4 linked regions of the Rhinolophus ferrumequinum genome follow. The protein of the gene in region 3 interacts with the protein of the main gene of each other region in a pairwise test. Links are inferred from orthologs where the notes say so. Each region holds a gene or a part of one and is shown on either strand. Other genes may lie near its edges.

Evidence for each region.
Region 1: the proteins of THAP1 (region 3) and U2AF2 interact in binary tests that used the Homo sapiens proteins (3 or more experiments, as listed by UniProt). The two-hybrid records come from large-scale screens. The link is inferred for Rhinolophus ferrumequinum from reciprocal best matches to the Homo sapiens genes THAP1 and U2AF2.
Region 2: the proteins of THAP1 (region 3) and TCEA2 interact in binary tests that used the Homo sapiens proteins (3 or more experiments, as listed by UniProt). The two-hybrid records come from large-scale screens. The link is inferred for Rhinolophus ferrumequinum from reciprocal best matches to the Homo sapiens genes THAP1 and TCEA2.
Region 4: the proteins of THAP1 (region 3) and FAM133A interact in binary tests that used the Homo sapiens proteins (3 or more experiments, as listed by UniProt). The two-hybrid records come from large-scale screens. The link is inferred for Rhinolophus ferrumequinum from reciprocal best matches to the Homo sapiens genes THAP1 and FAM133A.

Annotation. Positions count from the first base shown.
Region 1 is NC_046298.1:48,709,854-48,718,019, reverse strand, and holds the start of U2AF2 (splicing factor U2AF 65 kDa subunit), read right to left. Parts: upstream 3,131-8,166; 5' UTR 3,064-3,130; coding exon 3,015-3,063; intron 1-3,014. Other genes in the region: CCDC106 (coiled-coil domain-containing protein 106), read right to left, coding at 5,193-5,509, 6,137-6,349, 7,434-7,598, 7,696-7,803, 7,950-7,980. UniProt on the Homo sapiens protein: Plays a role in pre-mRNA splicing and 3'-end processing. By recruiting PRPF19 and the PRP19C/Prp19 complex/NTC/Nineteen complex to the RNA polymerase II C-terminal domain (CTD), and thereby pre-mRNA, may couple transcription to splicing.
Region 2 is NC_046306.1:142,629-149,751, forward strand, and holds the start of TCEA2 (transcription elongation factor A protein 2), read right to left. Parts: upstream 3,131-7,123; 5' UTR 2,972-3,130; coding exon 2,900-2,971; intron 2,433-2,899; exon of another isoform or gene 2,273-2,432; intron 167-2,272; coding exon 104-166; intron 1-103. UniProt on the Homo sapiens protein: Necessary for efficient RNA polymerase II transcription elongation past template-encoded arresting sites.
Region 3 is NC_046287.1:57,931,436-57,938,959, reverse strand, and holds the start of THAP1 (THAP domain-containing protein 1), read right to left. Parts: upstream 3,141-7,524; 5' UTR 2,591-3,140; coding exon 2,520-2,590; intron 1-2,519. UniProt on the Homo sapiens protein: DNA-binding transcription regulator that regulates endothelial cell proliferation and G1/S cell-cycle progression.
Region 4 is NC_046284.1:60,758,777-60,766,671, forward strand, and holds the start of FAM133A (protein FAM133A), read right to left. Parts: upstream 3,131-7,895; 5' UTR 2,910-3,130; intron 2,296-2,909; 5' UTR 2,226-2,295; intron 1-2,225. Other genes in the region: NAP1L3 (nucleosome assembly protein 1-like 3), read left to right, coding at 3,619-5,082.

The DNA of each region.
Region 1 (8,166 bases), on a different chromosome or scaffold from region 3:
GTTCAAAGACACCTGATTCCTCAACGACCCATCAGGCCCGTTACCCTACTCATGAACGTCACCAAGCTCCTGGGGACAGGAGACAGAATAGGCAATAAGGAGAGGGCCTCAGAATGGACTTTAGTCTCATCCACACTGCTGTCTTATATTTTTCTGATATGATTTAACAGGAACTTTTTGTAAATGTACCTCAATTCCAGAATCCCTGAAACTCAAAAAAAACATGCACCTAAGTAGGTAAGAGACACAGCAGCAAAGAATGGCATGCTTTCTAAAACTAGAACCTATGTTAAATGTTTTACTTGCACTTAATCTCTACTAATGCTTTGGGAATACCCTGCTGGGGGCTCATGTAACAGACAGGGAAACTGTGGCACTGGACAGTCACATGACTGGCGCAAAGGCTAAAAAGCAAGGAAGTAGTGAGCCTGAACGTGAGCTTTGTCACGTCAGCAAGTTCGGTAAAGCACCAGGCACACTCCTGAACTCAGGCAGAACACTCCGGGGTCTGGCTGGAACCACTAGTGACAATGGGATTATCTCCTTGAAGGCAAAAACATAAGTAAATCAAAGACTGGAAACATGAGCGGACACTCAGAGAGCCACGGGTAAGCACACAGGAGGCTCTGGGCCTCTGGCTCCATGTTTACAAGGTGGGCGAGCTACAAGCCCCAAGAGCCCTTCCTGCTGCTAAGGCTCCGAAACAGACAAGCAGGCAGAAAAGAACCGACACAGAGGAAGCAGTGATGCCTGCTGGGTGCTGGGATGCAGACCAGGAAATTAATTCCCTGGAGACACAGGTGCACTAGGCAGGGGCTAAAGTAGGGAGGAGGCTGGCTCAGAGACAAAGACCTACAGGCGGGACAACACGTGGGCAGCGCTTCCCCCTAAGGCAGGAGTCCTCCTCTCCCCCCACACACACTGATCCCGGACAGATAGGAACAGAAAGGAAGCTCTGATTGTTCAAAATACTGTTGCCACCTTTTGGGAACAGCTACCAACCCAGGGGACTTGTGAGGGCTGAGGGCATGGCCGCCCAGTACCAGGAGGGCCAAGCACTCAGGCAGCAAGCACATCTGCAAGGGCCTCAAGGAAGGGCTCAACCATCTCCACCTGGCGGTCCAGCCATGCACCCAGCCAGAACTCAGGGTCAGTTGCAGCTTTTCCACTTACCAACTATATAAAACCACGCAAGAACAACTAAACCTTTAAAACTTGGTTTTTTCTTCTTTAAACTAGGGTCCCTCTACCTCCTCCCCCCAGGTGTATGAGGATTTGAGGTTTGGAATGCACCTTCCCCAACTCTGACATCACCTCTGAGGGAGCTGATGACCTGCCTCTACTTCCTCTCTGTGAGTTTATCACACTAAGGATGATTTCACAATATAAAACACTGCTTGTTGGGCACTTAATGTATGCCAAGCCACATACCACACACTTCACGATTTCCCATTTAATTTCAGGTCTGCCTCTGACCAGACCTGGGAAAATTTTCAGACTTTTTGAATCTGTTTCCTCCTCTGCAAAAACAAGAAAATCATTTCAGCCTCACTGGGCTGTTACAAGGCTCCACTTAGAAAAACCATGCAAAGAGCTTAGCAAGGTGCCTAGCACGTGACAGGCGCTCAGAGTTTAACTGTTATCATCCTTATTTCAAAAATCGTGAAAACCATATTAATCAACAGACGACAACAAACAGGCACAAAGGAATTAAAGTAGCACACCTAAGCAACAAAGTAGCTTTCAACTCAGGTACGACCAACTTCCAAGCTTGTGCTGTTAAGCAGTACGAGTGAAGACAGACATGCGGAGGGCACTCAAAAACCGGGACTTCTTCCCCAGGCACTGTCTCCTAACGCAGCTACCCGTTACTCAACTCTAGGCTGGGTTCAAGGGAAAGTCCTGCCCCTCTCATTCGGCCAGCCAAACACGGGCATCTTAAGCCTCAAGTCCCTCCACCTTCCCTCAGCCTAAGTTTCTTCACTCTCAAAGCAAAACAGGAAGGTCAAGGAGTTTTTAAACGTCTAACGACTCTCCCAGTTCCAATATTCTTGGAGTCCCTCAACTGACCGGCACCCGCGTGGTCCCGTGCTTTGACTGGGCATCACCTACAAGTACTTGCCGCCCACCCTTTCCTACGGTACTCAACTGGCCCAGGTCCCCTTACTCTCAAGAGCCTCCGTTTCCCCATCTCTACGTTGAGATGATTTATGAGCTTCAGTCTAGATGCCCCGAGTTTGGGATAGAAGACGTGGTGTTTGTCTCTAGCTGGGGATACTGGGAACAAACATTCCACATTGTGATCGTCGCCACTGCCAAAGCCCGCGTGTACGCAAAACGTACGTGCGGGAGAAATACTTCAAGAATGCACAGGGTGGAAAATAAAACACAGGGTGCCCCTTTCACGAGGGAACCCGCGTCACACGCGGTGACCCGAGGCCCCCCACGACCAGCAGCCAGGGCGGGAACCCTGACGAGCGAGTCCGCAGGACACCGCGCAAAGAGCAGCCGTCGGAGAATGGCCGGCCCAAGCCGCCGCCTTGCCCGAGCCCACGTGAACGGTGGGGGGGAGGGGGGCGCTCACAACCGCCATTTTGGAACAAAGGGGGCGTGGAGACCCAGGCCACAGGCCCGGCCGGAACCGGAAGTGCCAAGGAAGCGGGAGTAAAGGGGGGAATCGCGGGACCCGATATATACACTCTCTTCCTCAGATTAGCAATAACAGGAGTCCGCAAGGGGACACCCGGGGCCCTCCCATCCGCGCCACCTGCGCCGGGAACCACGTGGGGCGCGGAACGGAACGTGACGCGCATGCGTGTGGGCCCGCGCTCGCCACCCCCTCCCGCGCGCGGAGGCACGCCGGGCGGTCACGTGAGCGAGTGCGCGCCGCGGGACGGAGGGGGGGGTGCCGCGCGGCCCTGAGAGGACGGGGAAGCGACGAGGAAAATGGCGGGGGACACGGAGGGAAGCCAAGAGCCGCCCCGCCCGCCGCCCCACGCCCCCGGCGCCCTCACCTTGCTTATTTTCGTTGAGCTGCCGCTCGAACTCGTCGAAGTCCGACATGCTGAAGCGGCCGTGTAGGCCCTGTACAGCTCTCGCCTCGCCTTGCCGCCCGCCCGCTCCAGCCGCTTCGGCTACTTCCGCCGCTCGCTTCGGCTACTTCCGGGCGCCCCCAGCGCGCCGCCGCCTCCTCCTGCCTAATCAAGCCCAGGCCGCCCGCCCAGCCCCGGCTCCACCCCTCTCCCGGCCGGCCCGCCCGCCCGCCCGCAAAGCGCCCCTCCCCCAGAGCTTGTTTCCGAAGCGCGTCGGCTATTTCCGGACTGTAGAGGCAGGAGTCGGGTGCGGTGTCTTCGGCAGCTTCCGAAAACACCCGAAGCGAAGGTTTCGCGGAGTTCCCAGGTTGTAAACTCTTCGGAAATTGTCTCTTCAACGTTCGGGTGTTTCCGTAGGTTCTCGCCTTCCTCTGCACCCAACCACCCTCTGCCCGCCAAAGGTTCGGCTTCTTCCGACAATTCAAAACGTCCCAGTCTTTCACTGCTTCCGCAGGGGCTCCCCGCTCTTATCCGCCGGCCCTATCTGAGCAACCCACTACTTCTGACAAGCTTAATCGTCCTAGTCTTCGGCACTTCCCGAAGGTTTCCAGCGCTCGCCCTCAGGCCCCGCAGAGATTATGCTAGATTCCAAGTTTCGGCTCTTTCCGGAGATTCCGTTGGCTCACTCCTCCCCACTGGCACAGCTTCGGCTCCTTCCGCCACCGCTTCGGAAAGGCCCCACTCACCGAGACAGCTTCGGCCTTTTCCGTCTGTTCTTCGGCTCCTTCCGGCTTGGGGAACAGAAAAGGGAGGGAGGACGAAGACGAGGTGGGTCAAGGGAAGGGATACGGGGAAGGGGCGGGGTCCCGGCTCCGGACTCCTGGCTCTCCGGGTGGGGAGAGTGGAGAAAAAGAAGGGCCGATCTCGTGGATGGCCTAAGAAGGTTGCGCGAGACAAAAGCAGCCAGCGGGGTGAACGGTGCGCGCAGCCGCTGCGGAGGTTGGTAGCGCGGCTTTGTGCGCCTGCGCAGGATGGAAGAGGAGGGGCGCGAGATGGCCTTCTGCACCTGCGTAGACGTTGGTCTGAGGCGCGGTTTCTCACTCCGCGAGGAACGGGTTCCAGAGCCTCCAGCACGCGTGCGCGAGACTTTCCCTTCTTCCAGGGAAGAAGCTGAATTCCCGACTGTTAAGCTGGGCCGCCTGGTCCTGGTTGCTGTAGCAACCGCGTAAGTGCGGCCGCCGGCAAAGTCGAGGACGCTTCCAGGAGACTGAATGTCCCACTACCGCCTCCTAGCGGGCGGTCGGAAGCCTCCTCCCAGAGGAGCTCCTCCCACCCTCCCACGCCACGGTGGCCGCCTGTGCTGGAGGTCATTGAGTACTGCCTCCTGCCGCCGCGCCTCTAGTCCAAACAGCCCAATGGGTAGTGTTCACTCCTCTTTTCCAGAGCTCTGCCCCTCCGTGTTCCCGGAACACAGCTGCTACTCCCCCTCCCACCAATGCCTACGGGGGTGCTAATTACACCCTGTCTCCCCAACCTCCCCGGTTTTCCTCCCGACCGCCTGCTTCCTGGAAGCCCCAGGGCTTCTGTCACTGTCTCCAGGGCAACGGCCACCCCCTCCCAGAAAGAGGCCGGGACCTAGTTTATTCCAAATTTTATCGTCTTTTTAATTTAAATTCTCTGAATAATAATCTGCTTCACGTTGACTGGGGGGTCCGGAATTAGGGTCCTCGGGGCTGGGGGCGGAGAACGGGTATGTACAGGGCCCCCGCCCCGTAGAATCCGGCAGTTTCCCCAGGAGGAAGGACCCAGTGAGGGCAGGAAGGGTGCCAGTGTTTAGGAAAGGGCAGAACCCAGCTCCTGGGCAGTGAGTAGCTCTTGGGAGCCTGGCTAAGTGAGGACCCCCAACGCTGGGAATGCAGAGGGAGGGGATGATGCTGGGAATGTGGGAGGCAAGGAGGACAGGTCTGTATAGAAGGGACCAGGAGTGGGAGTGGGGGTCTGCAGGAGGGAGAGGAGAGAGGCACACGCGGGAACACACCATCCACCCCCAGGCCCTAGCGAGGGCACACCACTCATGCACACACTCGCCCACGTTCCAGGTAAGGTGGAGGGGAAGGGAAGTGGGAGTCGGAGGGCAGGTCCCGGGCCAGGTGGGCGGGATCACCGCTTGAAACGGTAGGTGATGGGAAGCAGCAGCTTGCTCTTCTTGAGGGCCTGCACCTTCTTGAGGGTCTCGTCATCCAAGGCCAGGAAGCAGCGGCGCGAGTACTCCAGCAAACGCTCCTTGGAGGGGTCGAACTCACCCACCTCCGCCAGCTTCTCAGGGGCAACAATGAGCAACTCTGCGATAGGCGTGGTCAGCGCCACCGTGTTGCGGTCCACACGGTGGTGCTCAAAGGCCCGTGACATGCTCTTCAGCTTCTGGAAGGTGCCCAGGATCTTCTTGTAGCGGCAGAGGACACCGTCTGCGTCCTTCACTGCAGGGCCAAGGAGGGGTGATAGAGATACGGTAGAGAGAGACAGACATGGGAAGATACAGACGTGATGAAGAAATGGAGATAGAGGAGGTTGGAGGGGGTGGAGATAGACATGAGATGACAGATCCACAGGGGGAATTCAAATGTGGAGGAAGTGGGACAGAAATGGGAGGGCAGATGTGAGGACAAGAGAGATGCGGTGAGGGGCTCACACAGAGCAAAGGGACAGACAGGGACGATGTGGCCAAGGAGCCCAATACAGGAAGAGCAGGAGAACAAAACGGGAAACGGGAGGAAAATGCGGTGAAGAGATGTGAGAAATGGAGACAGGATTTAGGGGAGAGGAAAATTGAAGGAAGGCCGGGAGGAGAGGATGAGGAGGAAAATACAAACAGGAGAGCAGGTCAGAGGTTTGAGTTGCCAGCCACCTGAGCCATCGCCCTTCCCCTTGTTACTGATGTTCGGGAAGGTCTAGAGAGGGTGGACCAAAATGTACAGTATGAACCAGGACCACACATGAAGGCTGGAACCCACCAGCAGGTCTGGTCTGTTACAAATAGGGAAGGGAGGTGACACAGCAAGTCTCAGCCCAGAGCTCTCACACTGCACCCCGCGCCCCCAGCTCACCCCGCTGCCTCTCCCGAGCTTTGGGCTTCCCAAAGCGCCTCCGGCTAGGGCCTCCCTTCTGCCTCTGCCTCTTCCTGTCGACGTTACTGCCTTCTTCAGATACTCCGCTGATCGTGGAGGCTGCCGACTCAGGGTCTGAGGCCTCGCCCCCAGCCCCACCCCGGCTGTCGCCCTCAACCCGCCGGGGCCCAGGCTTCACCCGGCAGTGGTCCTCTGGAGAGAGGTGGGAGAGACATAACAAACACACATTGACTGCAGGAACAGGAGGGAGGAGGAAGTAAGAGGTGTGTCTGCAAGGTGGGGATGGAGGTCACATCGCACAGGTCCCCAGGAAGGGAGGCCTCCCAAGAAAACCGGTAGATAGGAAATTAGGTCCCTGCAAGAGATAGCTGAATATAGGACAGTAAGCTGGGATTTGGGGGTGGATATTGTGGGTTGTGGCTTGGGTGAGGATGCTCAGCGGACTCCTAAACTTGGTGGCAAGAGGTCTGGAGGACGAACCAAATGGACCAAGAGCAGACCGGGGACCTCAGGAGAATCTATGACTATGTGGGGTTCCCACAGTGGAGGACCTCCAGAAGAGTGGACTCAGGACACCCTAGGGGCAGGAAAGGCCTGGGGTGGAGGATTGAGAGCCTGAGAGAAATCTTAGGCTCTGTGTCTAGTAGGCTGGGAATGGCAGGTGCCTGCCTCCACCTAGAAGAGGGAGCGCTGAAGCTCTATGCAGGACCCCCAGAAGGTGGGCTGGGGGAGGTCCAGTGTTGAGAAAGTACAGAGGCCACTGGGCCTGACCATCCTGGGTAGGTTCCGATCATTGTGGGGAGACAACACTATGTCCCAGCAACCCAAGCTAGAGATGGTTCCAGAGCACAGGGGTCGCCAATAACATCAATATTGAAAGGAAAAAAAGAAAAACAGGCTCCTCGTCCTGGCTTTCAGTGGAATTCACAGAGAAGGATGTGGAAGCTTGCAAGGGAGCCAGTCAGGGGCTGTGCACCAAGAGAGGGAGTGTAGAGGCGAGATTCTCCAAAACATGGCTAAAGATTTGGCAAAGGAAAGCCCTCTCTGCAGGAGGGATGGGTCACAGGGTCCTGCCGACCAACAGAAGCAGGAATGAAGCTGGACTTGGGGTTCCAGAGACACCACGGGGTTAAAGGACACCATGGGGATGCCAGGTCCCCATTGAGCCACCAAAGAATGTGTGGGTGAAAAGGGTCCTGTGTCCCCAAAAAGAGCCAGAGCTAGGTGTCAGGGCCCAGGAGTCGGTTGAGGGGACAGCCTCATGGGGTGACCTCACCTGCATCCATCCGCGCAGAGGAGATGAACTTGTCCAGCTGACACCGCAAAAAGTCCCTCTCCTCCTCCAGGTCCTCGATGCGCTTCTGCAGCCATGAGTTCCGTTCCAGGGCCATGTGCAGCTGCGCCCTGACGCTGTTCATCAGGGATGCAGCCTCCGGAGGCTCTAGTGACAGTGGGGGACCCTGGTCACACCCCAGGCCTCAAGGGCCCTGCACCCCAGCTGACTCGCGTCCTTCCCACTCCCCCCACCCCCAGCTCACCCTCAAAGTTTCCCCGAGAGGGGCTCAGACTGTAAAAGAGCTGTGGGTCTAGGTGGGGCGACTCGTCGAAGGGGATGGAGATCTCAAAGGCCTCATCGTCCTTCTTCACTGGAGAGGAGAAGCCTGGGGTCAGCCCAGGGAAGTCCCCGGGCCCCTCAGACCAGCCCCCAACCACAGCAGCCCTGGGAAGGAGAGGGCAGAAGTGGGCAGAGTGGCTGTGGACCAAGGGTGGGGCAGGGTCCCAGCTTCCTCACGTGTCTTCCTCCGACTGTTTCGGTCATTCATGGCGCGGCCTCCGGCGGACCCGGACAGCTAAGCGCCTCAGAGGCACTGGACAGAGAGAACAACCCCAGATGGAGGAACACAGATGGCCTCCTAGGGACATCCAGGAGGTGGAACCCAACTCAGGACCAAGGGGGGAGGTGCTGAGGGCCGAGACTCCTGGGTCTGATGGAAGGGGGACCCAGAACC
Region 2 (7,123 bases), on a different chromosome or scaffold from region 3:
GAAAAAGGCAGAGACTGTCTCCTCAGGCAGGTGTCTGTGCTAACCAAGGAAGCCCTGCGAGGCGCCCAGGGGCTATCTGGGCAGGGGACATGCAGGGCCCTACCTGCAGCAGGTGCAGTGTGACAGGCATGGCCTTGAGCTCCCGCAGCAGGTCCATGGCTCCCTCCTAGGAGGAGAAGGGGTATCTTCGTAAATGACATTGAGATCACAAGGCAGTGACAGTTTGGAAATCCACCTGGAATCAGGTGCTCAGGGAGGGTGGGAATGAGAAGGGAAGTGGCTATGCACTCAAGCCCAGCACCCACAGGTCATGCGACTTCTTGCCCCACACAGGACGATGGGGAACACCTTTGAGAGCCACAGCCTGGTGAAGGTGTCCGTCCCATGTCCTTTGCCAGGTGGGTCAGGCAGCCTCTTCCCAAAGTAGCTCACCTGTCGGCTGAGAGGGTCTGACCCAGGAACAGTGACCGCAGCTGAGGCCAAACCCTCAGGGCACCTCCACTCACACCACATCCACGCCCAGCATCTACAAGTCCCCACCCATTGGTGTCTCCAGGACTCAAATTACCCCTTGGCCAGCCACCCCCCCACCTGGACCACTGTCACAGGCCCCGCTCCCTTCTCTGCCCCTCCCCCACCCATCTGTCTCCTCAAAGCCCTCACATTAGCCGCGCACAAATGGGCTGCATCTCTCCACTCCAGGCACAGCTCCTCAGTGCTTGTGTGCCAAGCTGCTTGCCCCAGGACCTTTGCACCTGCTGCCCCCACTGCCACGGACGTATCTCCCAATATGTCAAAGACTGCCCTCCTTCCCTCCAGAGCTTTGTTCAAAAGAGATATTCTCAGCAAGTCCTCTCCCTCCTGCTTAAAACTGCAAGACCCCCCCACTTTGCCTTCCTCCACAGACACCTCACTTTTTGATGCACTGATGTGTTTTCGTGTGTGTGTCTCCCATTACAGGAAGAGGCAGACATGACCAACCCAGCCACCCAAGGCTGTGAGAGCCTTATGTCCTGCAGCCCAGGTCCTGGGAAGCCTTGGCCTATACCCCCACACACACACTGCCACCAATCTGGGTGGCATCTCTGCTCAGGCTACAGCACCCTCCTCATGGCCTCCAGCAAGCCCTGCCCCTGGGGCTGTGGAGTCCAGCCTTGGGGTGATCTCAGCAGGGACAGATGGTCACCAGAGCCCACAGCACAGTGCTGCTAACTGATCATTTTCACGAGGAGCCTCAGGCTTCGTCCTGCTCCAGACCAGAGAGGCCTAAACAAGTCCCTGACCCCCCAGGGGACTTGCAGGCAGTGAAAACACCAGTACTGCCAGCTGACTCCTCACCCCACAGCACCCCCAGTCCCCCCAGCCACCGTTCCTGCCACAGCTGCTCCCCTTCTTCCTCCCCTGGAGCTTCATGCTGGGCTCCCACCTGGATACCCCCACACACCATTCTGGTGGGCCCATCTCTGTCCCCACAGGGGAGCGGTCGTTTGTTTTGTCCCGTTCATGGGGAGGTGGGGAGTAGCTTCTTTCTCTGGTCAACTCTAGAGGTTAGTTTCCACACCACTGCTCAGCGCTGCCCAGGGCCTCCCAGGGTAGGAACACAATGGGGGGTAGCTTGCCGGATGAATGAGTGGGAGCCAGCCCCTGGCCAAGATCCAGTGTAGACGCCTGTCCGAAACCAGGGTCAGGAGGGACCCAGGCTCAACCCAAAGTTACCCCCAAATTAGCAGTACAAGCACAGCCATGGGGTGGCTGCGCAGGTCTCGAAAGCCCATGACTGAGCCCCCTGGACCCACCTCTGGGGCCACGGCTCCGCTGGCCCCAAAAGCAGTCTGAGGGGAGCACGGCTGGTGTGTATTGAGCCTCCCAGGGAGCCAGCCAGGAACACACACACACACACACACACACACACACACACACTCACGCTGGAGGCAGGTACCACCCACCAAGGATGTTTCCGTGTGAGTGTATGCAGTCGCCAAGGTCTGGTAGCGGAGGGGGGCTGGAACTGGAGCCACATCTGGCTGGCCCCTCGGAGACCAGGGCACAGCGACCTCCAGAGGCTCGCTTGCGGCACAGCAGGCACAGCTGGCCAGGGTCTCTCCCGACCTCCTAGGGCTCCTTTCCCCAGTGTCCCTGCCTGCCTACCCATTCCCCAGTTGCTGCTAGCTGAGTTCTGGCTAAAGAAGGGAAATAATTTATTAGGAAACCCGGTTCTTATGGGGCGGCGACAGAGAAGAAAAGGGCCCTCAGGACCAGGAAAGGCCTCTACCTGCTTGTGAAGATGACGAGGGCCGGGCCCCAGGCCCGGCAGAGGCAGGGGAGGCTCAGGCTCCGGGGCAAAAGCGGGCCAGTCTCACACTCTAAACTCTCGCAGGCAGAGCATAGGTGTGGGAGACCTGGGGTAGGGGGATGATGGGGGGGTGCCCTGAGGATGCCCAGGAAGGGAAGGAGGGAAGCACGGGGGCGAGCAGGCCAGCAAGAAAGGGCTGAACAGGCGGGGGCGTCGCAAGGCCTGGAGGGGCGGGGCCCAGGAAGGTCTCCGCTGGCCCGGCTCCCGGAGGGGCTTTGAGATTAGGGGACAGGAAAGGGGGCGGATCTCAGGCCTGCGGGGTATCAGCCTGGCAGCTGGGGTCTGAGTCCAGAGCGGGTGGTTGCTGGGACAAGGTCCAGGCCGGATCGCGGCCTCTGCCGTGGGTGCGAGGGTGAAGGGCAGGGCTGGCCCAGGGCAGGGTTCTCTGCCACCAGCGGGGTCTCCCCGCGTCCCGGGAGTCTCTGCCCGGGCGGGGTCTCGTTCTGCACCCCGGGTGGTCTCCCCGGCCCTGACGGGGGCTCGGCAGGCTCGGCGGGGGCTCGGCGGGGCGGGGGTCCCGGGGTCCTGGCGGCCCGCGCCCCTCACCGCGCTCTTCTTGGTCACCATCTTGTCCAGCCTCCGGGCGATCCGCGCAATCTCCTCCTCCTTGCCCATCATTGCCTCAGGGGCAGCGCCCCCAGCGCCCGCCGCGCCAGTCTCAGCCTCCCGACCCAGACGCCGGCCAAGGCCGTCGCCGCCGCCCGCACCCGCCGCAGCCGACGCAGCCCTGCAGCGGGCGGGAGACCCTCGGTTCAAACCCCCAGCCCCGCGCCCGCCGCGCTGCATCCTGGGACATGTAGTTCCCGCTCCCTCCCGTCTGGCGCGCTCCCTCGCCGCCCTGGACCACACCTCCCAGGAGCATGCGGGCGCGCACAGCTTCTTGGGAATGGTAGTCTTGACGCGGGCCGTCTCGAGGCCTACGGGCCCGAACGACTCTCAGTCCCACAAGCCCTCGCGCGACCGGGTAGCCCGTGGAGGGCGCTGCGGTGGCCCGTGGGGCTAGGAAGTGCGTGCTGGCTGCGTCGTGGACCACGGAGCCTCCCTCCGGACCCTCCGCCCGGGAGCGGCCGGGGGCCCGACTACGCGGAGCTGGCGAAGGCATTTCCCCTGCTCCATCCCCTTTAAGCCCTCCTCTAGTACCTTCCGCTGTCCGGGGGCAGCCGGACCATGACTCCCTTGCCCTACAGCGAAGTCCTGCGGGAGACTCCCTTGAGCTCTGGCCTAGATTCTGGCCTCTGAGGCCTCGACTGGGGAGCCTGAGGTGGGAGGGAGCAGTAGCTGGATGCGGAGTGTAGAAGCCAGAGCTGGGGTAGGAAGGTGCCAGGGCACTTGCAGGGGCTGCGTGGGCAAGGCCCCTGCCCCCGGAGTCAGCTAGTGGGTGTGAATCCCTGGCTGTCACTTCAAACAAGTCATTGACCATTCTGTGCCTCCGTCTCCCTGTCTGTGAAATGGGGATGTGTTCGGTGTCTACCTCACAGGGCTGCTGTGAGCTTATTCAGGGCAGGAGACAGTGTCAGCAATTTGCTGCTGGAGGTCCTTGGGAAGGGCCCTACTGCACTCAGCTGAAGGGATGGCCTGGCCCCGGGAGGGTTGAGGAGGAGGGCAGGGGAGCATCTCCACCAGGCGGGTACCACCTCCTCAGTGATGCAGAGGCTGGGTGGTGTGCTGGAAGGGGCACAATTCTGGGGGAGGGTAGAGGCCAGGGGACAGGGCCTACAGTTGTGGGCCCCACAGCCACTGAAATTCAAGCCAAGTAACTGAGGCCAGGTGGGAGAGGGGCTGTCCAGATGACGTAGGCTGACCATGCCTTGGACTCTGAGTGGCATTAACTAGATGCAACTGAGCTTCCCGGCAGCCAAACTGAAAAGCGAACCAGGGTAGGTTATGAGATTCCTTAGTAATTATAAGGAAAAAGTGTGGAATTCAAAAAGCAAAGGTTTTCCAGAACGGACGCCCTGTGACAGGTGAACACAGCACCTCCGGTTTACAGTCCGGCTCTGATTCTGCCCCTCACTGTGAGTCTGGGCCAGAGCTCTGAGCCCAGCCCAACCAAGCATGTCCTCGTGGCCAGAATCACCTGGTCGAAGTGAGTGTGCAGCCTCTGAGGGTCCAGCCACACACCCTTCAACCTCCCTCTCAACAGACAGCTGGCCAGCATCTTGTAAAACAATAACCAGCAGGAACCCCAGAGAACTCAACCTCTGAGATCAGGCTGCAAAGACTCAGAACTGGCTCCCCAAAGCCCACAGGAGCTCCCCGACAGGTGAGCTGGTTCGAGGACCACTTGGAGGGGACTCCCCTCATGCTGGACGCTTCCAAGTGCCACAAAGGATCCTGAGACACAGAGTTCAGCCACAGCTTCAGCAAAGGCTAGAGCACAGGGGAGGGAGTGTCAACCCAGATGATCAGCATGGAGCAGAGCCCACAGCCTCTACCATCTGGAGCACGGAGGTGCGTGTCCAAGAGACCTCAGAACAGCTTCAGGTCCCGAAGATTACAGCCAAAAGGAGAGGATCAGGACAGGCCTCTCAGATGCATCACTTGGGCTTTCAAGAAGGGTTTGTTCGAAACACCTAACTCTGGCCCAGGCGTCCACTGGAGCAGGGTCTGGGCCATCAGCACAGCCCCCTGGACAAAGAGCCAGTGTCAAGGCCAGTCCCCATGTGATCTCCATGGGACGGATAAGCACAAAGTGCTGGGGAGGGGAGCGGGCATGCAGACACCCCAGAAAACCAGCTTGAGGACTTACCCTGGCCCTGCATGGACAGCCTTGCGAGGGAACGTCTCCCACGCTCCCATGCAAGGGGCTTGGCATAAGGGACGCTTCTAAGTGTTTGGCTGGGTTGAATGTTTTAGGCCACAAAGGTGTGCTAGCGCGGTGACTCAAGCATGACTAGGGAGCTGGTTAAGAATGAAGACCCCTGCCTTTTGTACCCCCAGGAGTGCGAGTGGGGCCCTGGGGACTTTGTCCTTTGTCTACAGGTGGCAGGGTACAGAGGGTGTCCCAAGGGTACAGAGGGTGTCCCAAGGGTACAGAGGGTGTCCCAGGACGGGGAGGTGGGTAGTGGCCTGGAGTTTGTACCCCAGCCACTATGACATTCAAGCTGCCGAGAGGGCAGAGGGGGTCACAGGAGAGGTGCCATGGGGTCGGGGAGATGGAGACAGGGCAGGTCTGGGAGCTGAGGTGGTGGGCTGGGTGGGGTGGGAAGGAGACCCCGGCAGGTCTGAACTAAGGGTCAGGGACCAACCCCGTGCGAAAAGAATCAGTGGGAAAGAATCCTAGTGCTCTCAAGCGGAAGGGGTCCTTTCTTCGGCTCAGCAGGGTGGGCACTGACCACAGCACACACGAGCGCACTGCAGCGGGGAACTCAGTTTTCTGCATCACACATTTTAGAAAACACTTTGGTAACTGTTTCGGAGCAATTGGTGTCCTTTGTGACCCTATGAATTTCACTTTGGGCACTGCCCATTTTGTGGCACCAGTAAGGGCACGGAGGAAAGGAGGAGCCGTCAGCCCAGCTAGGGCCCTTCCCATGCCCAGCGGCAGTGGAGGGCCCAGGCTGCCGGCCCACCTTGGGCCCTTGCTCCTCTGTGAGAAGCCAGGTGGTCTCCACCTCCACAGCCTCCGGCGTCGGCCACGGAGACAGCCTGCAAGGCGCCTAGCAAATCTCAGCAGAGGCTGGAGGAGGAAGGAGACCAAGGCGCTGTGGAGCCCCAGGCCTTTGGGACCCACCCTGAGCCTTGGCCTCTAGGTGGCGGGAGTGAGCCATAGGCCAGCCTGCTGGCCAGGTAGCCACCACCCACCCCCTAGGGAGGTCCAGTGGGTTCCCACCACCACGGGGGAGTGGCTGGAGTGGGACTGTGGTTAGCCCTGCAGACAGCGCCTCACTCGTGGAGGCTGTAGGTGGGTCCCACCCTCGCCAGAGCTCAAGCTGGTGTCGCACTGGCCAGCCCCAAACTCCCGACTCCCCACCTTAGAAGTCCCTGGTCCTGGGGCCCCTTATGAGTTCACGATACCCAGAACCTTGCTCAGGACAGTCTCACCTTACCCCAGGCCCCTCAGGGACCTTACCCAACCTCAGGACTTCCTCCCCCAGACCCTCCTGTGCCCTCAGAGGGCTGCGCCCAGAGGGTGACAGAATCCTGGGTTCTGTATCCAGGTGTCACGGAAGCCTGGCCGAGGCTTCCATAGGGCGCCCAGCAGGGCTGGGTCCTTCCACATCCCACCCACCCCTCTCCAGGTGAAGAGACTCACTTCCTCTTTCGTAAGTCTTGGACATGCACACACCCACTCGCCCCAGTCACACGGGACGCGGAGGTTGCTCACACGTGCCTCACCGGGCACACGCTAACCATACACACAGACTCTCTGAGAACGTGGCCTGGGTCCCCTGCCGCATCCCCCGACCCCAAGACACCTAGTAGGTGCTCAGTAAGTACGTGTAACAAGAAGGAAGAAGGAAGCAGCAAGGGCATATGGGAAGGGACCCACATTTAGCAGCTGCTGCCGTGCAGGGGAGCCCCACAGACAGGCCACGGACTGGTCTCCCCTGACACGGACCCCCTAGATCCAGGCAGGGCCCACAGACCCTCCACCACTGCTGAGATGGGACCGAGTTGAGGGCCACATGTACCCCAGAAAAAGTTGCCAAGTCAGGGAGGCCAGGCTGGGTTTGGAGGCTGTGAGCTATGTGGACGTGTCCATCGAGGAGGGCTCCTTATTATTAGAGATCGGAGGTGGAAACGAATCAGAAGGAGCCCCCAGGGTGG
Region 3 (7,524 bases):
ATTGTTTTTCCCCCTTCATTAGAGTAAAAAAACTTTCAATAACAAATGCAGGTATCATGTTTCCCTGAAAACAAGACCTAACCAGAAAATAAGCCCTTGCATGATTTTTCAAGATGACATACCCTGGACATAAGCCCTAATGCGTCTTTCGGAGCACAACTTAATATAAGACCCAGTCTTATTTTCAGGGAAACACGGTATTCCACACACTTCTAAATACACATGGGTAAATCGTGTAATTCTCTTATCTATCTCATTTATTATTGTTTAAATTTTTACATTGAAGACACTAAAAGTTTCAAATAAAATGTATACTATAGGGTGAATCTGTATTTTTTTTACCAGTAATTTTCTGTGTACTGTAAAACAAAATTGCCTGTTTATTATCTAAATACTGAGAATAGGAAGCTTCTAGTTCTCTTAGAATCAGTCTGACAAAAAGGAATAATCAAATTATATACTTAAATCATTAAAGAATTTAAAAACTCATTTTGATTTACCTCTTTATCTACTGGAATATGTCCAGTAGGCCAGATAAAGGGACGTAGGAAGAGTTTAAATTTATTGTGATTTTATTTTTCCAGGTCAAGGATTTAATAAGCTGGGGGGGACTGGAAAGAAGCCAAAGAAGGATGTTTCCAATTTATGTTCCAGTTTTTCCCATGTAAGGTATGCTAGAACCTTACTCTGTTATTATCATGAAGATCTAACCAATCTTTACGAAAGTCCCTTTTCTTTGCCTGGCATAGCTCTTCCCACTGCCACCATGTAGAAACTGGGGAAAGAAGTACTCCTAGAAGATTCTGGCTAGAAACGGCCTCTACCAGTGCAAAGTATGGTAGCAATCATTGGTAAAATTTAGCATATAGGGCCTTCTGACTCAAGCACTACAAGTGCTCAGGTTGTTTGTGAGGTTTTATCAAAATCTTTCCTATCTACTCCTCAAAAACTGTTCTTTTAGCTAAGGGATGAAATGCACAGGGTTAGCCCTTCTTTTGGTTGAATGAATTGTTTAACAGCCAGCAGAAACTCAGTAATTCTGATGAGTGAATGTCATCTTTTAGTTTGCAGTGTCAATGAAGGATTTTCCATATTTTCAGATTCCCTTTGAAACATCATGAGAAACAGGGAGGCGGGGAGCTGAACCCGTGTGATTGTGTTACAACCTCCTGACCTATTCCTACACTTTCAAAGTCCTGGAAAGGTCAATTCATCAGCTTTCAGAAATTCCAGTAATTCAAGAGGTAATATTAGGATATAATGAACTGAATCCTAGAAGTGGTAAATGTTCTAGCTCCTTCTCAGAAGAGAGGAAAAAATCAACACTCAACATCTATGCTCTAGGCACTCTTATTTCTGTATGGTCCCTCTTGTATTATATCAAGAATGTAAAAAATGCATCCACATCTGCTTTTAAACATAAATGACTTCCACCAAATAAAAACCTGATATTTAAAATTGTGCTATTGTAACTATTTAGCTATGAGTAATTCATGTAATTCACCACTGGTTCTAATTTCTTAGCTGTCATCATTTACAGCAGAAAATTCTTGCAAAAATTTGACGTAAACATAATAAAACTTGTAAATACTGTAGAATTTGGTTGAATGAAAATGCTATCGTGTCACCTCGCACATTTTGCAGGTATTTATCATTAAGTCATTTCCATTTTGCGGTTTTCTTTTCAAGAAAACATTTTCCCTCTAGGACTCTAATTGCCAGCACCTTCAGCATAAAACAGTCCTGAAGGCTGTGGGGTAGGTTCTATTCTACGGGCTTCCTCTGTGCACCCACAATAGCTCACATTGACCTTTATCATAGCACTTTATCATGGTCCGTATTATTATTGTCCATGTTATCATCACAGTGTGCTGAAAACATATACTCTTCATCTTAGCAGCACTAGAAACGGTCTCTAAAACGTAAGAGATCCTTAATGGTTGATTCCTAGAAACTGGGTCAAAAACATCCTCCCTGAAATCCTGGCCAAAAATCAATCCATAGTGATGCTGGGCCTAACATCCACAGCAAGGATGAAAAGAATGACTTCTTTTTAAAGGTCTCTGTTTCTATTTCAAATTTATTTCTAAAGAGTTATTACCACCTGGCTTCTCTATGACCTGGTAGTGAAATCCAGATGCCTCGCGGTCTGGAGACCTCACAACCCGCAGGGACTCGCTTGGAATTGCTCGCGGGTCCGAAACTCGCCAACCCCAGGCAGCGAGCAAACCTCGCACCGGAGTGGATCCTCAAACTCGAGAAACGATCACTACGGCTACGCGCGCCGAGATCGCGCAGCCCGGGGCTACCCGGCGCGGGCTTAGATCACAAGCGGGCACGCCCACCGCTTCCCCGCCTGGAATAGCACCGGAGGAACGCCCGGCCGCGCCCCGCCCCTGCCTCCGCCCCTCTCGTTAGGTCTCGCGCGGACACGCGCCTGGCTCCGCCCCCGAACCTGAACGGACGCGCGCCCCCAGCCCGAGCTGGGGCCAGTCCCGCGAGGCGCGAAGGGTACTTACTTGTGGAAAGAAACGGGCTTATCCTTATCGTATCGGTTCTTGCAGCCGTAGGCGGAGCAGGACTGCACCATCCTTTCGGTCCTCCGTCGCTTCACTTCTGCCGCCGCAGCTGGCAGGTGAAGCTGCTATCAGTGTCGCTGCGGTCGGCTTTGACACCCTCACTTCTTCTGTAGCTTTGGCCAACAGTTAGGTGAAGATAGCTTCACTCGGAAGTGACTAATGTGCCCGTTTTGTTATTTCCAGTAGCAAGAGGACCACAGCCATCTCCCCACTCCCATCTCCAAGATGGCGAAGGCAGCTTCAACCTCACTTCTCGCGAGGAGTTCGTCCTACCGTCTGTGATTAGCCCTGAGGTCAGAGGTAACGTTCCCTGAGAAGCAGACGATTGGCTGAGACCCGGCGTGTTGCCCGGCGGGCTCAGCGTTGCGGAAGTGGGCGGGAGAAGAAAGCTTCCGGAAGGAAGAAAGAAACAGCCTGGGAGTAGAGGCGAGGGGACCGGAACGTGAACCCGGATCGGGCTCCGCGGCCATCCTTTTCTTGAGTTAATTTATCTGGGGGTTTAGCGTGGAGAACAATACGGTCTGTTGGGTCTGCTGGCCTAAAGGAGGACAGGTGTAAAGCTGAGGTCGTTGGGTAATTGCGCCCATTTTTTTAAAAGGGCAGCCACTGATTGTATATGATTTGTAAAAATGTTGATGGAAACAACACAAAGGTCCATTACTGAACTGATTGTATATGATTTGTAAAAATATTGATGGAAACAACACAAAGGTCCATTACTGAATGAATAAATTGTATCGTCATATAGTAGACTACTATACAGCAATCAAAGAAGCTATGACTAATACAATATAGGTGGTTCTTACATGAATAAGTCAAATAAAATATACGATCCTTTTAGGTAAAACTAAAGTGAGAAGAGGTTACTTTGGGGGAGAGGCAATGAAGGGGGCTTATGGGATGGTGGTAATGTGTCTTGACTGAAGTGATGGTTAAACTAATTACCACTTTATAATTATCTGACCCTTATTTATTTGTAAAACGGTGTTTTTTGTACTTTAATAAAACAGCTTACTAAGCAAATGAGCCGCACAAAATATGCAGGACTGCCTTTTATTAGAGAATGAGCGATGTTTGTGTTCATTTGTTCTCTTCATTTGCCCATTTAAGTGAAAGACAATAGGGATAAACTGAAGAAGGTTAATTGGAAGTTTGATGTTTTTCAAAGTCTTGAAAGGCCAAGAGATAATTATTTACTAATATAACACTTTTTAAGGAAAAAAGATGTCACCCTTGATATTAAAAAAGTTTTGTTACAATTATTCTAGAAAGGTAAACTTTGTCTTGTTTAATAAACTGAGGAAAAATAAGACCCTTGTTTTGACATAGGAGAGGGCTAAAGATGTTTTTGAACACACTAATATCTAAGTTTAGGTTTTAATTTCTACCCAACTATGCTTTCTTTTTCTATAAACAATTTTTATTTAAAAAGATACTCTAGCATTCATTCTCTATGGGTCTCATTATCTTCATCTGTGGAGTAAGGCTGTAGCATGAAATGAGGAATTCTTAATTTTGAATCCATGAATGGTCAGTTCTTGAATCCCCTGAAAATAAATTGAAATTATACATACATGTGTATGTATGCATTCTTCTGGGGAGCTATCCATAGCTTTCACCTGATTTTCAGAGAAAATACAAAAACTAGCCAATTTGTAAGGACCCTTACAACGTTAATATTCTAGGATTAGTGAAACAAGATTTTCATGTAGCTAGAAATTCCAGGTTTTCTCTAGCACCGATTAGAAGGGTGAATGTTTTGATCTGAATATCAGGTATTTTTAAGTAGTTTTTAACTTTGTGTTTTAAAACATTGAAATCTAAACTATTACGTATCAAGTGAGTTTAAAACATCGTTAGCCCTTAACCCTCTCTTATGTCACATACTACTTTCCCATCAAAAGGCCTACAGCCAAATAGCACTACTCTTAAAAAGTAAGTAAGTATTCAAACATGCTCAGTGTTTTCTGACAATGTTTACTCCTCTCATGCACCAATCTGGGACATGGGATGAGTCAGAGGATGCAATTAGATAAAGATGACAGTGACTGATAACACCTCAAATTTGCTTGCAGTCTTGGACTTAGTGCTTAAATATTGATGCCATAAAAATGAGCTGGTTCTGATAGAACACAAAATTTCAATGATTGTCTTTATCTCTGTGATTGTCAACAGCCCTTAAAGCCTACTGGCCTGGTCCTGGGAGACAAGTCTTAGGGTCTTCAAACTTTGAGTGAGTGCCCTTTCCTATTCTGACTCAGTCGCAGGTTTATGGATTGCTGTTTGGCAAAATGGAAGAGCCTGAAGTACATTTCGTTTCAGAGAGAAGGGAGAGAGGCAAACATAAGAGACACAGTCTCAGGAAAGTACATTTCCTTTATCAAATACACACAAAAGGAATAGGTGTGGGGAATCAGGGTGCAGGCCTAATCTCTTAATTCCAATTCCACCCTTGTCCAGAATTAATATAGATTGCCCAGATCAAATTCTCCTCAAAAGCATTTCTACTTTTTAAATTTAAAAATACCTAAGCAAAATTAATTAGAAATGTGACAAAATACTTCATGTCCATTAATGAAAAAGAAAGCCATTGCAACCATTATATTGAATACTATTTCAGGAGTTCGGAATTTGAAAGCAAACAATATTAAAGAAACAGGAAGATAACAAGTACTTTTTAATTTTAGCTATATTGCTTTTATTCAAAAGAATAACTTCTTGACAAACTCTTAAATCACAAAGTTTGAACAAACTGTCAATCTTCTGCAACAACTCTGTGAGGTAGGTATCTGCACAGCCACAGGGACCAACAGTACTTTCTTCCCTTGTTGCTTTCAAAGGCTGAGAATTGTAGTAGCTGAAACCACTCTCCTAGTGGGCAGTTAGAACAATTGTTTCTTCCTCTTGTTCCCCACAGATCTGCCCAAGTTACCATCTGTTCCTGGGGTTGGACCATCTGTTTTTGTGAAGGTTACAATATTGTTTACAAAAATCCAAATTGTTGCTTTGATTTATATGATCTCAGTTTGAATCATAGAAGTATTATTATGTTTAAAACACTGATTGACTCTACTTGCTTTAAATACTCAGATACTTTCTACATTTATTATCAGGGATCAATAAAGATGGCATAGTAAGCAGGTCTAAAATTCTGAGATGTCAGCATGTTCCGTTTTCAGGTTGATAAGACCTCAGATCATACAGTGTTTCCGTATGTTACAAAAGTTGGTACAATACAACTCTACCAGGCAAGTTTTAAAAGGAATTGCAAATATTACAATAAATCATTATAACTAGAAATGTGACACTTGAAGCAGAACACATGCACAGAAAATGAAATCCTTTCAAAAATGACATTGCTACATAGCCCCACATAAAATTTATAATTGGTAGGAAATGCATTTCTAGTCTGGGATAACAAACTCCTCCTACTATTAGCTTTTCAAGTTGGTAACTGCAGCTGAAATGCTTTTCTATGAAGTATGCTACCTTATTAGATGTTTGATTTGGAAGTAGAAAATTAGGGTTTATGAAGTCTTGATATGTCATCTTTCTAGACCTTTCCTCGTAGGAGCACCCAAGCTATCCTACTCCAGTGTGTTCCAAAAGACTTCCAAAGCCCCAGTTTCGCTCCTGCTTTCCCCTCTTTGTAATAACCTTCACATCTATCTGAACCCATGCACGAGTCCTACTAAGAGTCTAATATCAGTTCTGTCACTTATTTGTGTGTGGCTAGACAAAAACCTTAACATCTATAACAGGGATTTCTTCTATGAAAAAGAAGACAGGGCCGACCAGGTGGCTCAGGTGGTTGGAGCACCATACTCCTAACTCCGAGGTTGCAGGTTCAATTCCCACATGGGCCAGTGAGCTGTGCCCTCTACAGCTAAGACTGAACAACTCTCCCTGGAGCTGGGGTGCCATGAGCTGCTGTGAGCGGCGGACTGAAGAATGGCAACCGAAGACTGGTGACCGACTGCCTGGGAGGGGAGCGCAAAGCTCATAATACCAGCATGGATTAGGGAGCTGTGTCCTACACAACTAGACTGGGAAACAACAGCTTGAACAGGAGTTGGGGCGCGGAGAGGCGGAAGAAAGGGAAAAAAGACAATACTTTGCCTTCTTCACATAACTGTCTTAAGAATAAAATGAAAAGTATGCAAGAAATTGCTTTAATTATAATGTGCTATATTTAAGTATTGTTTTCTATGACAAGCAACAGCTTTGTCCTAGGCCCAAATTAGAAAACACTATTGATATTTTATTCAGCAACTCATTAGTTGATGGCTAAACTGATTAATTTGAGACTGTGACAGATGTTCTTTTTCTCCCTATCTATATATAGTGAGGCTCATTAATACATGAATGGACAGTATGATTATCAGTGATTGCAGGTGACAGAGCTAACACCCCTGGGCATCAACGACAACCCTGCTGTCCAGTTTGCTAATTAGCAGTGCCCCCTGAGAGAGTTAGGATTCATAATACTTGTGGTTTTGATTCTTCTCAAACAGAAAACTGCAGAAGAGCGCAAGACACTTACGCTGTAGTCATTAAAAAAGCAAGATAACTTTCCTGTTAAATCACCTCAGACAACATTTGCTCATTCTGCATAAGACCTGATGAACCTGGGCTATATGCTGTCACCTAAGAATAGTATTACAAAAGTTTTCTGATTAACCAAATTTGTTCTTTCTGTTTCTCTAGCCCAGCAGTAATTTCTCTTGTCAAATTTAAAGTGTTCCTAGTTTCCTCCCTAAGGCCTTTGATACTCAAGCCATGAAGAACCCCTTTCCTCAGAAATGCATCAAGCTACTAGGTTTGCAATATTACTCAGGTTCCTGAAAAGCAAATTCCCTTTATAAGTTACTTTGATATACTATTCCTATAAAAGGACCAAACTCTTGTTTAAATATCATAACTAAGAACATAAGTATGCTGGCTG
Region 4 (7,895 bases), on a different chromosome or scaffold from region 3:
ATTATGCATAAACTAAATTAATTATATGAAGAAAAGACATATTTTCTTTTAGGCACCTGTCATTATAAAATTAATTTAACTAACAGACTGGAAAAAAGCTATAAAAATAAGTGTGTTACTAGGTTCTTAGGTAATGCATGCACAATAAAAGTAGACCATTGTGGTTACAAGAAGTCACCTATAGTTTATGGCTTGGGAAAAAAATACTTTCAAATTGAAAATATGAACAGTTTACTAATATATCATCTTTGTATGAGGTTTTTACAAGCTGTGTTCTCTTTTTATTCTCCCTGTTCCACTCCAGACTTTTCTGTATCAGTTTAAATGATTAATTACTAATCTTTGAAAAGCATCTTAACAACCCTTTAAGTAGATCATTTTAGAATAAAAGCTGTAATTAAGTCATATTTGTCCAATATCATAAGTCACAGTTGCCTCCAATCAAGGCCAAAATTATATTTTACCTTTAGGATTTTACCACCAATTAATTTCTTTCTTAATTGAGTGGAAAAACAAGCAAAATATATGAATAGGCAATTCTCAAGTGTACAATAAACATGAAAAGACATTTAATCTTATCACTAATCTAAGACAAATACATAATAATAACAAATTAATTTGGAGATATTCATTAAAAATGTGAATAGTGATCACCTCTGAGTGTATTTTGAATTACTTTTAATTTATTTGGATTTCAATTGTAGTAGCTGTCTTCTTTTCAATGTATATCATTTCCACAAAATATAAAGCTATTAAAAAAACTGCCTCATTAGTTGCTTGCTGAAAAATTATTGCCAATGAATCAGAAAAGAGAATTCAGAAACAAAATTAAGCGATTTAGCTATTATGATACAGGTGGTATTTCAAGTAAGTGTAAGACAGAAAGATTATCAAATAAACAGTACCAAGAAAATTAGCTAATTAAAAAAATACATACATATTTTAAAAATCTGGATCCCTAACTCACTGCTTACTCCAAAATACTAATTCCTGATGGTACAAAATTTAATGTGTATTTTAAGCCATTAAAGTACTATAAAAATATAAGACCATTCATGAAAAAGATATCCATAATTTTAAATAAAAATAACAGGTTACAGAGCAATATTTATGGCATAACCCCACTGATTTAAATTATTGTTTCCAAATTATATGTTTTCATTAAAAGTATGAAACGAAAGGATACACACCCAGTAAATTTTATTCACCATTATATTGCCATCCTTTACTACATGTGCCTGGCATGAGACAGGCATAAAAATATATTAGCAGAATGATTAAATAATGATCTCTTATGCATTGTTCGTGGGACTGTAAATTGAGATAACTTTTCAGGAGAGAAGTTGGCAATAAGTATCAAAGAATAAAATGAGCGTACCATTTCAGCACTCCCATTTCTAGGCATTCATCCTATGACTAATTTTCACGAGTATATATAGTAGGTATACAGAACTAATTTTTTATAACTGGAAAAAAATGTTAGTGGAGAGATAGTTGGGAAATAGCTGCCTTGCAACAGGAATCTGGTTAAATGAATTAAGGCAAATATTTCTATTGAATATGCATCTATTTTAAAATAAGACGTTGATCATTTACCTTGAAAATATAGCCACAATAAATTGATAAAAGAGCAGGTTACAAAACATAATATCACGTCACATAGGAAAAACAGTATATACAGATAGGCAGGCGTGTGTATGTATAAATAAATTTCTGGAAGGAAATGCATGAAAACGCTAACAACAGTTATCATCCGGTTGTTAAGATTGTGTATTTTTACTATCATTGGAACTTTCTAAGTTGTATTTTTTCTTTACAATGCTTATATCCTTTGACAATCAGAAATAAAAGTAAATTCATTTACAAAACAGAAAATAAAGGTGCTTCCTAACTTTTAAAAAATATGACAAAGCACAAATCCTATAATGAAAAAGTAACATAAAGGTTCATCTAACTTTCATATTTTCACTTATTTGAAATGAATAATTCATTATATTTTATATTTTGATTTATTACTTGTATTCTATGAGCACGTTTAGATAGTGAATGTAATTAATTATTTTCTACATTAGTATGTCAAATCACCTCTGTGGATTTTTCTGCTTTCATAGAAATAACAAGTTATCTTCCAATTAAGTCTTTAAAAGACTACATCCTGTGAATTTATTCATATACAGATAGGTAATTCTTGTCATTCATAAAAATGGGCTAAATATGTTCCTTACCTTTCAATGAAAAGTAAACACTGGTCTTTTTGGTTGTACCAAGGGAGTTGCTCTGTAGCAGGAAAGAATCCTGTAAATAAAAATAACAGATACCTGTTTTTAAACTTCATTTTGCATATTAATGGACTTCTAAATCATACTGAGTACGGTTAGAATTTCACAATGTTTGCAGCAAATGGGTGGCAGATGACATTGTAACGTATACTCTGACAGATGATGCACTTTCCCTAGCACAAATCCCCCCTCCCATCCTTCTGTTCCTAGAATTGAAAACTGCTGCACAAAAGTATAGAGCAAACCCTCTGCTTTTAAATAATACTATCCAACATTTGAATGCCCTTTTATTTTATCTACAAGGTTGTTGTAAACATTGAGAAGGGCTACGTGGCAAGTCAGCAGCAAGGCTGGGGTGTATTATATGCCAGCTGAAAAACAGAAATATAGTAAAAATGGTGTAATTTGACTCACGGCAACAGGGGTTCGCAAACCTTGTAGATGGATTAAAGCAGGCTTGCCAAACATCACAGACAGCACTTATTAAAACTGCTACGTGGAATGCAATATGCCTGCTTTCTAGCCCCTCCCCCCTTTGCCAATAAACGACTCCCCCTTTTTTCAGTGTAAAAATACATGCTCATAGAATATTTAGATAGAGATTTAAAAAAAAAAGCCTAATCACACTACCCAAGGATGCCATTTGAAGTATTTTCATCCAAGTTTTTAAAAACAGATTTTTGTGAAGAGGCCCCTGACAAATCAAACGGGAATTCAGGATGAGCGGACAGGAGAAGGATACTCCTCTTCCCTTGTCAGGAACTATGGCTAGTATTTTTACCTCAATCTAAGCTTTTTTTTTTTAATTATAAAACTATAAAGATAGAATTTTGTAGGGATAAAACGTCTTCCAGGGGTGTGTGCCCCAGCTACCAAGAAGCATCTGGGAAGGCGGGCGGAGCCTAGGGGGCGCACAGCGTTTGCGCATTCGTTGGGCTTAGCGATCGTCAATCAAGCTTTCCCAACAAATGAGGTGCGAGCTAAAGGCACACTGGGAACTAAATTAAGGGGAGGTAGGGCTGGAAGGGGAGGGGGCTTGCGATGTAAACGGCGGAGAGATCTCGGGGTCTCACACTGCACCACTCCGCGGCGGCACGCCTCTGTCCGCCATAGCTGTCGCCAGGAGAAGCTGGCCGCCGCCGCTCGGGTCAGGCCTCCGCCGCCACCTCCGCGCGATCGCCGCAGCCCCGCCCCTCCCTGCGCTACTGCTGCCTTCGCCGCTGCCGCCTCCTCATCCCGAGCCTGGGCCATCCAAGCATCCGTGAGTCATTTTCTGCCCATCTCTGGGCGCGCGGTCTCAGCGGTAGCCGCCACCTTAAGAGGTTTGCAGGCTTGCACTATGGCAGAAGCGGATCTTAACATGGTCTCGGAACCTGCCGCCCATGGGGTTGCTGAAGAGATGATGGCTAGCTCGTCTAGTGATTCTGGGGAAGAATCTGATAGCAGTAGCTCTAGCAGCAGCACTAGTGGCGGCAGCAGCAGCAGCGGCAGCAGCAGCCGCAGCAGCAGCAGTGGCAGCAGCAGTAGCCGCAGCCGTAGCTACTTATATAGAAAGAAGAGGGTACCTGGGCCTTCCAGAAGGGCGCGGCGTGCTCCGTCGGGTAAAAATTTCGTAGATCGGCTGCCTCAGGCAGTTCGAAATCGTGTGCAGGCGCTCAGAAATATTCAAGATGAATGTGACAAGGTAGACGCCCTATTCTTAAAGGCAATTCACGATCTCGAAAGAAAATATGCCGAACTCAATAAGCCTCTGTATGATCGGCGGTTTCAAATCATCAATGCAGAATATGAACCTACAGAGGAAGAATGTGAATGGAATTCAGAGGATGAGGTGTTCAGCAGTGATGAGGAGGTACAGGAAGACAGCTCTAGTGAAATGCCTGCTTTAGAGGGTGAGGAAGAAGACGACGACCCTAAAGAAAAACCTGAGGTAAAGGCTGAAGAAAATGAGGTTCCTAAAGAAATTCCGGAGGCAAAGGCTGAAGAAAGAACAGAGTCTAAAGATTTTGTGGAGGCAAAGCCTGAAGTAAAAGAAGAGCCTAAAGAAGTTCCCCAGGCAAAGGCAGAAGATAAAGAACAGCCTAAAGCAACAGAGGCTAAGGCAAGTGCTGCAGTAAAAGAGGCTCCTAAAAGAGTTCCTGAGGTCAGGCCTAAAGAAAGAGTGAATCTGAAAAGAGCTCGTAAGGGAAGGCCTAAAAGAGAAGATCCTAAAGGCATCCCTGACTATTGGCTAACTGTTTTAAAGAATGTTGACAAGCTGGGGCCCAGGATTCAGAAATATGATGAGCCCATTCTGAAGTTCCTGTCAGATATTAGCCTGAAGTTCTCAAAACCTGGCCAGCCTATAAGTTACACATTTGAATTTTATTTTCTGCCCAACCCATACTTCAGAAATGAGGTACTGACCAAGACATATATAATAAAGTCAAAACCAGATCATGATGATCCCTTCTTTGCTTGGGGATGGGAAATTCAAGATTGCAAAGGCTGTAAGATAATTTGGAGAAGAGGAAAGGACGTTACGGTGACAACCACTCAGAGTCGCACAACTGCTACTGGAGAAATTGAAATCCGGCCCAGAGTGGTTCCTAAAGCATCATTCTTCAATTTCTTTAACCCTCCTGAGATTCCTAAGATTGGAAAGCTGGAACCACGAGAAGATGCTATCCTTGATGAGGACTTTGAAATTGGTCGAACTTTACATGATAATGTCATCCTGAAATCAGTCTATTACTATACAGGAGAAGTCAAAGGTACCTATGATGATGGTAAAGATTATGGAAACAGGAAATATCGAAAATAAAAAACCAGCTACCTGAAAAGAATTTGCAAGATCTCAAAACTTCAGACAGAAACGAAGCAGGTTTATATAGCCTTGAAAAAAAACCTGTCCTATAACCTCAACACTAGTATTCTTTACAGCCTTGTGCTTTTGTATTTTCTTGGTGGTCTAAAATACTGTCTTAAAATGTCTAAGTGTCAGTTTATTTTATATAGCCTGTTGTAGAGTAATATTCTTTAAAACCTGTAAACTGCTGTCCGTTATCTGAAGCATGTTAGTTTGGTGCTACAGAGTTTTGATTTTTGTGAAATCCTTTTGTCATGTTCCTATCAGAATGTAACTGTGAAAACTGTTAAAATTGTTATCCCAAACAAATATTTGCTTGAACAAAACAAGTTACTAAAGTAACAATACAAGTGTGTGTTTGTTTTTTTCTAGCCCAGAAGACTAGGGCTTTAAATCTGCTTGCACTATCTGTGCCTTCATTACTTTGCTATAGTACTTATATTAACTAGAACAGTGCATTGTGAAATTTGCTTGAAAAAAGATGAACATACTTTTAAGAATGTCTATCAGTACTATATATGATGTGACTGAGCTTGTTTATGTGACGGTGTGTGGTCTATAAATGTAATCATACTGAAGTTACTGTTTACCACTGAAGTGTTAATATGACATAGTATTTAAAAGTTTCCTCCTATAGAGTGTAACTGTAAACTAAATTACTAACCACATTTTTTGTACTGTGTTCTACTTTGCCTTTCACTGAAAATGATCACTACATCATTTGATATTTTTTCATGTACTTCAGTTGCAACCTAAAATAAATAAATGTCAAATAAAGTGTATCATGCTATAAAAATCTAGCATTTTTTCCTAATTATAAAAAGTAGGGCTTATTGTAGAAAAAGTAGAAAATAGGGAAAGGGAATTTTTAAAAAAGTCTAACTCATAACATTCTGCTATATTTTCCAAATCTTAGCTCTTCTTTGGAGGATACACATTCAAGTGATTAGAGAGAAGGGACAGGGTGGGAGACCAGACAAGGGAGAGAGAAGCAGATAGGAGGGGGAGGGAACATGGAGGAAGGTGGAAGAAGGGAGAGGGAAGAGGGAGGTGAGAAGCTGGGAAGGGAAAGGGAATGGGAGGAGGGTTTAAGAAAAAGCAAGGGAGGGAGGAGGAGGGGAGAGGGCAGATAGGGAAAGGGAGGAGGGTGAAGAGTGGAAAAGATGGGAGCGGGTGGGGAGAGGAAAAAGGGGAGGTGGAAGGCAGGAGTGATTCCCCCAGAAAGGACTTGTATATAAACTGTTGCTTTCACTTCGACGAGCAGGATGGGTAAATGTCCCAGGTCCAGGCTTCACCTGGACTAGGGAGGTGGTCATACTCCCAAGTGTGGCTATTTTTTGTCTTATAGGTAGCAGAGTCCTGTCACCACTTCTGCACTGTGCAGCTGGTTACCAGGTAATTTGATCCTAAGATTTTCATTTGAAATTAGTGTGAGGAGGAGGACCCTTAAACTCAGTTTACCAGAGAGCTTCTGCAGTGGACACAAAGGCACAAAATAAATAATAACGTGGCATTTTATTTCATTTGCCATTTCCCTGTCCACATATGTTTTCCTTCAAGACCTTACAGGAAAGAGATGTGGTAGGAGGAAGACAGGATTTGGGAATTTCTGGGTCTCTAGGCAGTAAAATTACGTAATAGTTTTCCCAAATCCCACTATATGTAGTTTCGTTATCTTGCTTTTATTCCTGCTTAACAATAGTCCCCATATCTATAAATATTACATATCTATAAAATATTATCTATAAATATTACATATATATAAAATATTACATATCTATAAAATATCCCCATATCCATAAAATATTACACGCCATGATATACTATATTTAACCAATCACATATGTTTGGATATAGGTTACGATTTATACAAAATCAGGAAGCAAATGATTGCCTTTAATGATACCATTGCAATTTTTGAAAGTGCTTTTGTTTTATTTCTGAGGGTTTTTTTACTTTATTATTTTTTTATTAAATTTATTGGGGTGACACTGATTAGTAACATATAAGCTTCAGGTTTATAATTCTATAATACATCATCTATATATTGCTGTCATTCAGGGTGTCATGCAGGGTCTCCTGTCCCGCTCCCCACAGAAGAATGCAGGATGGGGTGAGGCCAAAAAGGAACACTCACGGAGCCATAGATAGGGGAGTCATAACACTATATTCTTGCTGGCGGCTGGGCTGGAGACACAGGAAGCAGGAACCACACTGTCCGCAACCCAACATCCTAACGGCAATCCGCGCTTGCCAACCACCATCTTCTTGCTCGCCCCCATTTGCTGCTATCTTAGCCACGGCAGTTATATTAGTGGCCAATGGCTCACTGGTTACAGCTGACGGCCAACTAGTCACAGCTGATGGCCATCCAATCACAGTTGATGGCCATTTACTACCTGAGCCAGCACCTTTCCACGTGAGGCCAAGAGCCTGGAAACTGCACTCCTGGCTCTGTCCCCATATTGCATTGTGTTCACCACCTAGAGTCAGTTCTCCTTCCATCACTATATTTGATCTCCTTTACCCTCTTTTACCACCACCCCCTCCCTTACCCTCTGGAAACCACTAAATTGTTAATCAAGAATGGGTATGGCAACAGATTTACTTACATGCCGGGGTCAAAACAAATATTGTAATAAATATGGTGTACCTGGCTCACTGCTATAGAAGTTCCCAAATCAGGTGTATGCTGTGCTTGCCAGACATCACAGAAAGCAGAGCTATTAAAACTTCTATATGGAATGCAACATCCTCATTGCATCTTT